Kluyveromyces lactis: one gene and its partners. The protein of the gene in region 1 interacts with the protein of each later gene in a pairwise test. Links are inferred from orthologs where the notes say so. Each region holds a gene or a part of one and is shown in the gene's direction. Other genes may lie near its edges.

The links.
Region 2: the proteins of SNU13 (region 1) and NOP56 interact in binary tests that used the Saccharomyces cerevisiae proteins (3 or more experiments, as listed by UniProt). The link is inferred for Kluyveromyces lactis from reciprocal best matches to the Saccharomyces cerevisiae genes SNU13 and NOP56.
Region 3: the proteins of SNU13 (region 1) and NOP1 interact in binary tests that used the Saccharomyces cerevisiae proteins (3 or more experiments, as listed by UniProt). The link is inferred for Kluyveromyces lactis from reciprocal best matches to the Saccharomyces cerevisiae genes SNU13 and NOP1.

What each region holds. Positions count from the first base shown.
Region 1 is NC_006041.1:2,008,791-2,011,154, forward strand, and holds SNU13 (RNA binding protein SNU13), read left to right. Parts: upstream 1-1,371; coding exon 1,372-1,752; downstream 1,753-2,364. Other genes in the region: GEF1 (Gef1p), read right to left, coding at 1-767; putative E3 ubiquitin-protein ligase HUL4, read left to right, coding at 2,210-2,364. UniProt on the Saccharomyces cerevisiae protein: Common component of the spliceosome and rRNA processing machinery. In association with the spliceosomal U4/U6.U5 tri-snRNP particle, required for splicing of pre-mRNA.
Region 2 is NC_006040.1:1,043,714-1,047,244, forward strand, and holds NOP56 (snoRNP complex protein NOP56), read left to right. Parts: upstream 1-1,363; coding exon 1,364-2,905; downstream 2,906-3,531. Other genes in the region: SWI1 (Swi1p), read right to left, coding at 1-814; PBA1 (Pba1p), read right to left, coding at 3,257-3,531. UniProt on the Saccharomyces cerevisiae protein: Required for 60S ribosomal subunit synthesis.
Region 3 is NC_006039.1:400,125-403,064, forward strand, and holds NOP1 (rRNA methyltransferase NOP1), read left to right. Parts: upstream 1-1,296; coding exon 1,297-2,304; downstream 2,305-2,940. Other genes in the region: trans-2-enoyl-CoA reductase (NADPH) TSC13, read right to left, coding at 1-466.

The sequences.
Region 1 (2,364 bases):
AAGGCCATCTCCTTGCTCAAGAGCCAATTAGTAATTACATAACCACAACAGGTAGCATAGTGAACAGATGGTCCCTCTTTACCAACACTTAAATCAGAAGAAATGGCAAGCGGTAAAGCGACAGATTTTACTATAAGGGTCTTCAAATTCAAAAACTCCGGGGTATATTGGAAACCTGATACCCAGGATTTAATTTCTGAAATACCAGATCCAGTGGCAAACGGTGCAATGTGTAGGACCATCAGACAACTAATAGTTGCAAATGTGACCGATAAGAACATGAATAGCAAAAATGAAAAGATTGGATTGGTTGCTTCTACCCAAATACCTTTTTCGATACATTCGCTTTGGGATCTTTTAAAGAATATTTCTGCGGCATTGCCAGCCGAACTTATTATGGAACCATAACTCCTTTTACTGATCTCTTCTTTAGGACAGCAGAATGCCTTGTTTAACAACCAATTTCTAGCACAATGTCCAGATTTCCAGTTTACTAACAATTCAGTGAATATTTGTAAAAAACCAGCAATACCGCCAATGGAAAGCCCAATGGCAGTCAAAGTAATGAAACTGCTACCTCTTTTCCATATTAACCTGCGGTACTCATACCAACTCGAACGCGGTATATCAAATTCGTCATGCGATGTTCCCTTGGACAATTCACGCTTCTCTTCCTCAATCCAATCCACAGAAGTGAACTTATCGAAATTACCGACTTCTGGTATATTTCGCAGAGCCTGCTCCTCATTTACCTCTTGGTCAGTCATAGCTAGCTATTGCTCATCAATTGGGTCATACCTAAGTCAAGGGCAATACTATGAGTTTATTCATAAATGAGTTGATAAATTTACATATTGTAATACGTACATTTTTCAATACAAAGAAATATGCACCTTTGAAATTAGGTAAAGAACTGAGAGTGAAAGCAGCTCTTCCTGGGGAAGTATGAAGCATACGATGGGGAACAACAACTACAGACTGCGTGTTTTAGACCATAATAGAGTACTATAGCAATGGCGGAGAATGGCCAAATGATCACAATAGGAGGAATGTATATCGTTCTTCTGAATTAATATAGTGAAACAGCCGTACATTACACCAGTTTGTGATCCCATTTGTTTCTTTTTGCTCATCAGTCGAGGAATTCGAAAATTTTCAAAAATTGAAAAACTAAAGAAAATGATTTCAAGAGACTAACCTCATCTCATCTCGTTCCATCTCATCTCACTTTATGATAAAACTTTTTTTAGACTTGGACTTGATCCGATCTTATTTCTAGTCTTAAAACACCAGATTCAAGCGAGCTTTTCATTCTTGCAAGGAACTTGAACTGACCCAATCGGATACTTCACTTCATATTATAAAGAAATAATGTCTGCTCCAAACCCAAAGGCTTTCCCATTGGCTGATGCCACCTTGTCCCAACAAATCTTGGATGTTGTTCAACAAGCTTCCAACATGAGACAATTGAAGAAGGGTGCTAACGAAGCTACCAAGACTTTGAACCGTGGTATTTCCGAATTCATTATCATGGCTGCTGACTGTGAACCTATTGAAATCTTGTTGCACTTGCCATTGTTGTGTGAAGATAAGAACGTTCCATACGTCTTTGTTCCATCCAGAACTGCTTTGGGTAGAGCTTGTGGTGTTTCCAGACCAGTTATTGCTGCTTCTATTACCACTAACGATGCTTCTGCTATCAAAAGCCAAATCTATGCCGTTAAGGACAAGATTGAAACTTTGTTGATTTAAGAAGGATTTGCACATTTCGTGATTTCCTTTTCTTATTCTTTATATCAATCGTTTAAGGAGTTAACCGCTTTGTGGGGGGTTTGCATAGCAAAGAAAAGATTTACTGCACGTTCATTGATTCAAGTGATCGACAGGTAGATTTTTTTTTTACGACCTCTGTATATTAAACATATATATTACAATTAATACAACTTTTTGATACATTTGCATCCTTCTTAACAATGACATCAACATCTGATGGTTCTAGTTAGTGGTCAGTACATAGTTTTTTTTTGTCTGTTCAAATTAAGAAATGGTTACAGGCCTGTGTATTCCAGATGATATTGTCAGTTGGTAAAAAAAAGTAATAAATTTGACACAATCTTTTGTGCTTTCGACTATCCAACCCTAAATTTACAAGTTTGTTGAAATGAACTTAGAGGAAGAAGTCTGACTGTCCATCAGTAGCTGCTCGAATATGTTCAAGTTTAACCCATTACACATTGTTGGTAGGGAAAAGATAAAAATCCGCTATCAAAGTTCGGATAGGTTGGATTGTGAAGACCCGCCAAAATTTAGGGAAACTCGATGTAGATGTTGCGGAACCTTGTTACGACATCCTATAGACGCAGT
Region 2 (3,531 bases), on another chromosome or scaffold:
TGGCTGGATCTAGATTTTGTAGAACGTTTCTTTGGTTATTAGACTGATTCTGTACTTGAGGCGCATGTTGTTGCATTCTCGCCTGTGCTTGCGCTTGTGCTTGTATGTGCGCTTGAGCTTGGGCTTGAGCTTGAGCCTGTGCTTGTGCTTGTGCTTGGGCTTGAGCTTGAGCTTGTGCTTGAGCCTGTGCCTGCGCTTGAGCCTGTGCTTGTTGCTGCTGTTGTCTTAGTTTCTGCTGCTGTAATTGGTTGAATGCCTGCTGTTGTTGCAACATCTGTAGCTTTTGTTGCTGTTGCTGTTGCCTCTGTTGATGCGCAGCAATTATTGCGGCTCTATCCATATACTGAGGGCTCTGTCTACTAGCACTCGCCTGAGCTAAAGACTCATCGGCCATTGTAGGGGATCCACTTGGCACATTTTGCGGCGTTCCACGCTGCGATAACATCTGCTGTAAAGAAGTAGTGCCGGCGGGAGACTGCGTCGGTGCTACATTGGCTGTATTCATAGGAATTGGTCCTGCGGCTGGAGAAAACATGGATTGTGGAGAGATAGAGACTCCACCGTTCTTCATCGACGGAGGTGAATTGACAGTTGAGAATGAATTTCTAGCCAATATAGCCTGGGGCGTTACGCCTGCGTTAACATCTTCCATCGGCCCTAAATTACTATCAGGTATACCTTGCTGGTTGGGTGCGCCTGAGTTATCAAGGAAGGAAAGGTACTCATCACCGTTCGAACCTCCTTGACCGAAAAGCTGGCCATCGCCAGAATTCATTGGATCACTCTCGTCCGGGAACAAAAACTGATCGTCCATCCGTATGTACCAATAAAGTTACCGTTTGACCCTTGATATCAGGGGAGAGAAATCACGCCTAAATAAAACCTAAAACAAGGGAATTATATTCATTCTGAAAGTAGTGATAGTCAAGTGTCAATTGAATTCATTGAATACAATTTCGAGTTTCCTTTCGTTGTTTTGTTTTTGGAAAGACAAGAAAATTCCAGGTCACGTGATTTTGTCAATTATTCTATATCCGGGTAATACATTCGATCACGTGTATAACTTACCCGGCCGCGGCCGGGTAAGTAAAATATATTTCCCATTCTGCTTTTCTTTTTCAAGCTCATCGCTCTTTTTTTTTTGTTTGGAAAATTTTCATTTCGAAGCCAATAAAGAGAGATGAGCTTTCTGACCAGTGAATATATTGTATATTGTGTTATGTGCACAGCGATATTTCAATTAATACTTGTCTGTATTATCTTGAGTTTTGTTCATTCATTCCGAAGTTAGTGTGTGTTGAAGAGTCCAGATCAAAGAGATTTTACGGTAGCGAGGAAACTTTATTGATCAGAGAATTAAATAATGGCTCCTATTGAATATCTTTTGTTCGAAGAACCTACCGGGTATGGTATCTTCAAAGTGAAATTGCAACAGGATGATATCGGATCTCGTTTGAAGGAAGTCCAGCAACAGATCAATGATTTCGGCTCTTTCACTAAGTTAGTTGAGTTGGTTTCTTTTGCTCCTTTCAAAGGTGCTGCTCAAGCTTTGGAAAATGCTAATGATATTTCTGAAGGTTTAGTCTCTGAACATTTGAAAGCTTTGTTGGATTTAAATTTACCAAAGGGTTCTTCTAAGAAGACTGTTACTTTGGCTATTTCTGATAAGAACTTAGGTCCATCCATTAAAGAAGTTTTTCCATTTGTTGATTGTATTTCTAATGAGTTAGCTCAGGATTTGATTCGTGGTGTTAGATTACACGGTGACAAATTATTGAAAGATTTACAACCTGGTGATTTGGAAAGAGCTCAACTTGGTTTGGGTCATGCTTACTCTCGTGCTAAGGTTAAGTTCTCTGTTCAGAAAAACGATAACCATATCATTCAAGCCATTGCTCTCTTGGATCAATTGGATAAGGATATCAACACTTTTGCCATGAGAGTGAAGGAATGGTACGGTTGGCATTTCCCAGAGTTGGCAAAGTTAGTCCCAGACAATTACAAGTTTGCTAAACTCGTTCTATTCATTAAGGATAAGGCATCTTTGAACGAAGAATCCTTGCACGATTTATCGGAAATTTTGGATAACGATGCTGGTATCAGTGAAAGAGTGATCGATAACGCTCGTATCTCTATGGGTCAAGATCTTTCTGAAACTGATATGGAAAACGTTACCATCTTCGCTAAGAGAGTTGTCTCCCTTGTTGAATACAGGAAACAATTATACGATTACCTATGTGAGAAGATGCACACTGTGGCTCCAAACTTGTCCGAATTGATCGGTGAAGTTATCGGTGCTAGATTGATCTCTCATTCTGGTTCTTTGACCAATCTTTCTAAGCAAGCTGCCTCTACTGTCCAAATCTTGGGTGCTGAAAAGGCATTGTTCAGAGCTTTGAAGACTAAAGGTAACACACCAAAGTATGGTTTGATTTACCACAGTGGTTTCATCGCTAAAGCTAGTGCTAAGAACAAGGGTAGAATCTCTAGATATTTGGCTAACAAATGTTCTATGGCTTCTAGAATCGATAATTACTCCGATGAACCATCTAACGTTTTCGGTCAAGTGCTAAAGAAACAAGTTGAACAAAGATTGGAATTCTATGCTTCTGGTACCCCAACTTTGAAGAATGAATCTGCTATCAAGGAAGCCATCGAATTGTACAATAAAGATAAGCCAGCTCACGAAGAAGAAGTGGATACGACTGAAGTCTCCAAGAAGAGAAAGCTAGAAGAATCTAACGATGAAGAAGACTCTGAACAAGAAGAGAAGAAGGAAAAGAAGTCTAAGAAGGACAAGAAGGACAAGAAGGACAAGAAGGAAAAGAAGGAAAAGAAGGAAAAGAAAGAGAAGAAAGAGAAGAAGGATAAGAAGGAAAAGAAGAGTAAGAAAAATAAGGATTAGGTTGTGTCAACTTTTCAATCATTTTCCGAAGATTGATCGACTTTATTATTATTTTTTTTCATCATATTTCAGTTTAAACTCGTCACTTTACATTTAACTTTTCACTTTTACATTATTAAGTCATTCCGGTTTCTCATAATTATAAAGCTCTTAATTGCACCTTTAACGCTCCTACTTGTATCCTAAGACAATAAGGAAAACCTCGTGTCTACAAACATGCAACTCATCATTTAACCATTGTTACATATTACATCTGTATATCACCCAAATCATATTTTAATTAGAATACTAGACAATTATCGTCACTAAAAAACAGAACGGGTGTAATCCCAATATTTGATTAAAGACACGTTAAATATATAACCCGCCTTGAGTTGTGGTACATTCGTCAAGTTTCCAAAGCTTTAAGCATTCCGATACATAGTACTCTGTCTGTGACGGGTACGAGCAAAGTAATTTCGACATTTCATCTACTAAAGCATCAACGGTAGGGAAATTATATTTCTCAAAACCAATTGGACCCTCAGAAGGCACAACAATAACTTTGAGTTCCTTCCTTGGTAGAGCTAAAATGAAATTGGTGATAGAACCGGTAATAAATTCGGGAGGGACTAAATAGGACAACT
Region 3 (2,940 bases), on another chromosome or scaffold:
ATGTTTCGAATTCTCTCTTTAGATAATGGACCATAATCAGACGGTAGATGAACTTATTGAAGAAATCGTTATATGGAACATTTTTAGAATGAAATTTGTCCCTAACTGTTGCGTTTAAAGACAAAAGGTAAACTAAAGAATGGATCAAGATCGGACCCAAATATTCGATGAAAAACACCAGTCTCCAAGAGATCTGCGGACCCAAATCCTTAACATACCACTCGTTAACTGAATCGAACGTGTTTTTCTTACCAACATCGTTCAATTCAGAGGGCCCAATGGCGACTTGCTTACCTTCTTTCAGATAGCTTAACCTTAACCTGTTAACGCTAATATTGTGATTGCTTTTCGAAATCTGTTGCAAAACAGATTGATATGTCAACGTATTTTCTGTTGGAACTTCCAACTTGACGTCTTTTAAGCTCTTTGAGCGTGATTTAATAAAAATTGAACTGGATGCAGACATAAAGGGACACTTATCTAGGTAATATCTTCAACTGTCGGATTAAAATATACAGCGATAGTTTGGAAAATAGGATCTCAAAACTAAACCAGAAAATTTATCCAGATATACTAATTCAGATTCTGATTGCTATAACGTACAAAAGTCAAAGCTGGTTCCACTTCTCTGATTTTTTATCTGCTTTTATAAAGATACCGATATTCACAACAACAACCAAAAATGATCTCATCTGCATATTTTCGCAATGTTGACTATGAAAAACTTGTATAGAAATCCTTAGTAAACGTACGCATTGTAGCAAGTATCTGGCTCAACATAGCAAAAAAAAATCTTGAAAAGTTGTAGATTCATATGATTATATAATCAATTCATATCACGTGATACAGATGTGACAATAGTCATGTGACTTTAACGTTCATCGTTCTGTACGTACCAAGAGGCACAGAAAGACCAAAGATGAGAACTTTGAAAAAGAAATTTAATATTGTTTTTTCATTCAAAATTTTTCAGCTGAAAAAAAAAAGTTTCGAAAGCTCATCTCATCGAATGTAAAGTAAGAGTTTATTAAGTTGTTCTTGCTTGAAAGAAGTAATCAATTGTTTATAGAATAGTATTGTGTACGTTTTCTGTTCCTATAATCTACCCATTTTAGAAGAGTTTTACAGCCGTCCAGGATTCTGTTTCAAAGTCAACGACAATACCTGTTACTGATTCACAATTTTAATTCTTTTTTTTTCCTTTGTCCAATTTAGAGAGAAGAAGATCAAGAGCAGCAACAGCAGCATAATCATTATATCTCAAGACAGATAATTCCCAACTAGTTAAGAATAATAATGGCATTCCAAGCAGGTTCTAGAGGTGGCAGAGGCGGTTCCCGTGGTGGATTCGGCGGTGGTTCCAGAGGTGGTTCCAGAGGTGGATTTGGCGGTGGCCGTGGTGGATTCGGTGGTTCCCGTGGTGGTTCCAGAGGTGGATTCGGTGGTGGTCGTGGTGGTCCTCGTGGTGGCGCTCGCGGTGGTTCCAGAGGTGGATTTGGTGGTGCCCGTGGTGGTTCCAGAGGTGGTCCTCGTGGTGGTGCTCGTGGTGGTGCTCGTGGTGGTGCCCGTGGTGGTGCTAAGGTTGTTATCGAACCTCATAAGCATGCTGGTGTTTTTATTGCCAGAGGTAAAGAAGATCTTTTGGTCACAAAGAACATCGCTCCAGGTGAATCTGTGTACGGTGAAAAGAGAGTTTCAGTTGAAGAACCTTCCACTGAAGAAGGTGTCCCACCAACTAAGGTGGAATACCGTGTTTGGAATCCTTTCAGATCCAAATTGGCTGCCGGTATCATGGGTGGTTTGGATGAACTATTCATTGCTCCAGGTAAGAAGGTTCTATATCTAGGTGCTGCTTCCGGTACATCTGTGTCCCACGTTTCCGATGTCGTTGGTCCAGAAGGGTTGGTTTACGCTGTTGAGTTCTCTCACAGACCAGGTAGAGAATTGATCTCTATGGCTAAGAAGAGACCAAATGTTATCCCAATTATTGAAGATGCTAGACATCCACAAAAATACAGAATGCTTATCGGTATGGTTGACGCCGTCTTCGCAGATGTTGCTCAACCTGATCAAGCCCGTATTATTGCTTTGAACTCTCATATGTTCTTGAAGGATCAAGGTGGTGTCGTTATCTCTATCAAGGCTAACTGTATCGATTCTACTGTTGATGCTGAAACTGTGTTCGCTAGAGAAGTTCAAAAATTGAGAGAAGAAAAGATTAAGCCTTTGGAACAATTGACTTTGGAACCTTATGAAAGAGACCATTGTATCGTTATCGGTAAATACATGAGAAGTGGATTATAAGAGCTGCTAAAGAAATATTGATATTTTGAAACCAATGCTAGAGTATGCCTACTTGGTTCATGATTCCTTCTATTAATCTTTTTTTTTTGGCTTCTAATCTTTTTTTGCTTACTTTTTAGTTTTAAAAACCTTCATTCCAATACAATCATTAACACTATAATATTATTTGAAATTTTGCATCTCATTGATTCGTGATAAAGTTCTACAAACTAGAAAAGTCTCCACTTCGTCTTCACTTGTATTTTGTCACTCTGTGTGTTTCTTTTACTTACAGTCCAGGTCCTTCGCCTGTTCAAAGGAGATCGACTAACTGACGGGAAAAGAATAGAAGAAGATTTCAAAACCTTGTTCATCAACTTGACAATACAAAAGAACCCATTTTCACAATAACGGTATTAATACTCGAACACTCTTAACCTTATTTTGTACATTTAATTTGTAGATATATTATTATTATTATCACATACTATATATAACTTATATATATCAATAACAACCATACGTTCTAGAAAATCATGTCTGGTAGCAGTGAATTAAAGGATATAACCCCATACGGGTTACGATACCATAATACGGTCCATCTGTGCATCTGTTGACAAACTCTTTGTTTCTTTTATCTTTAATCGACATCAAATT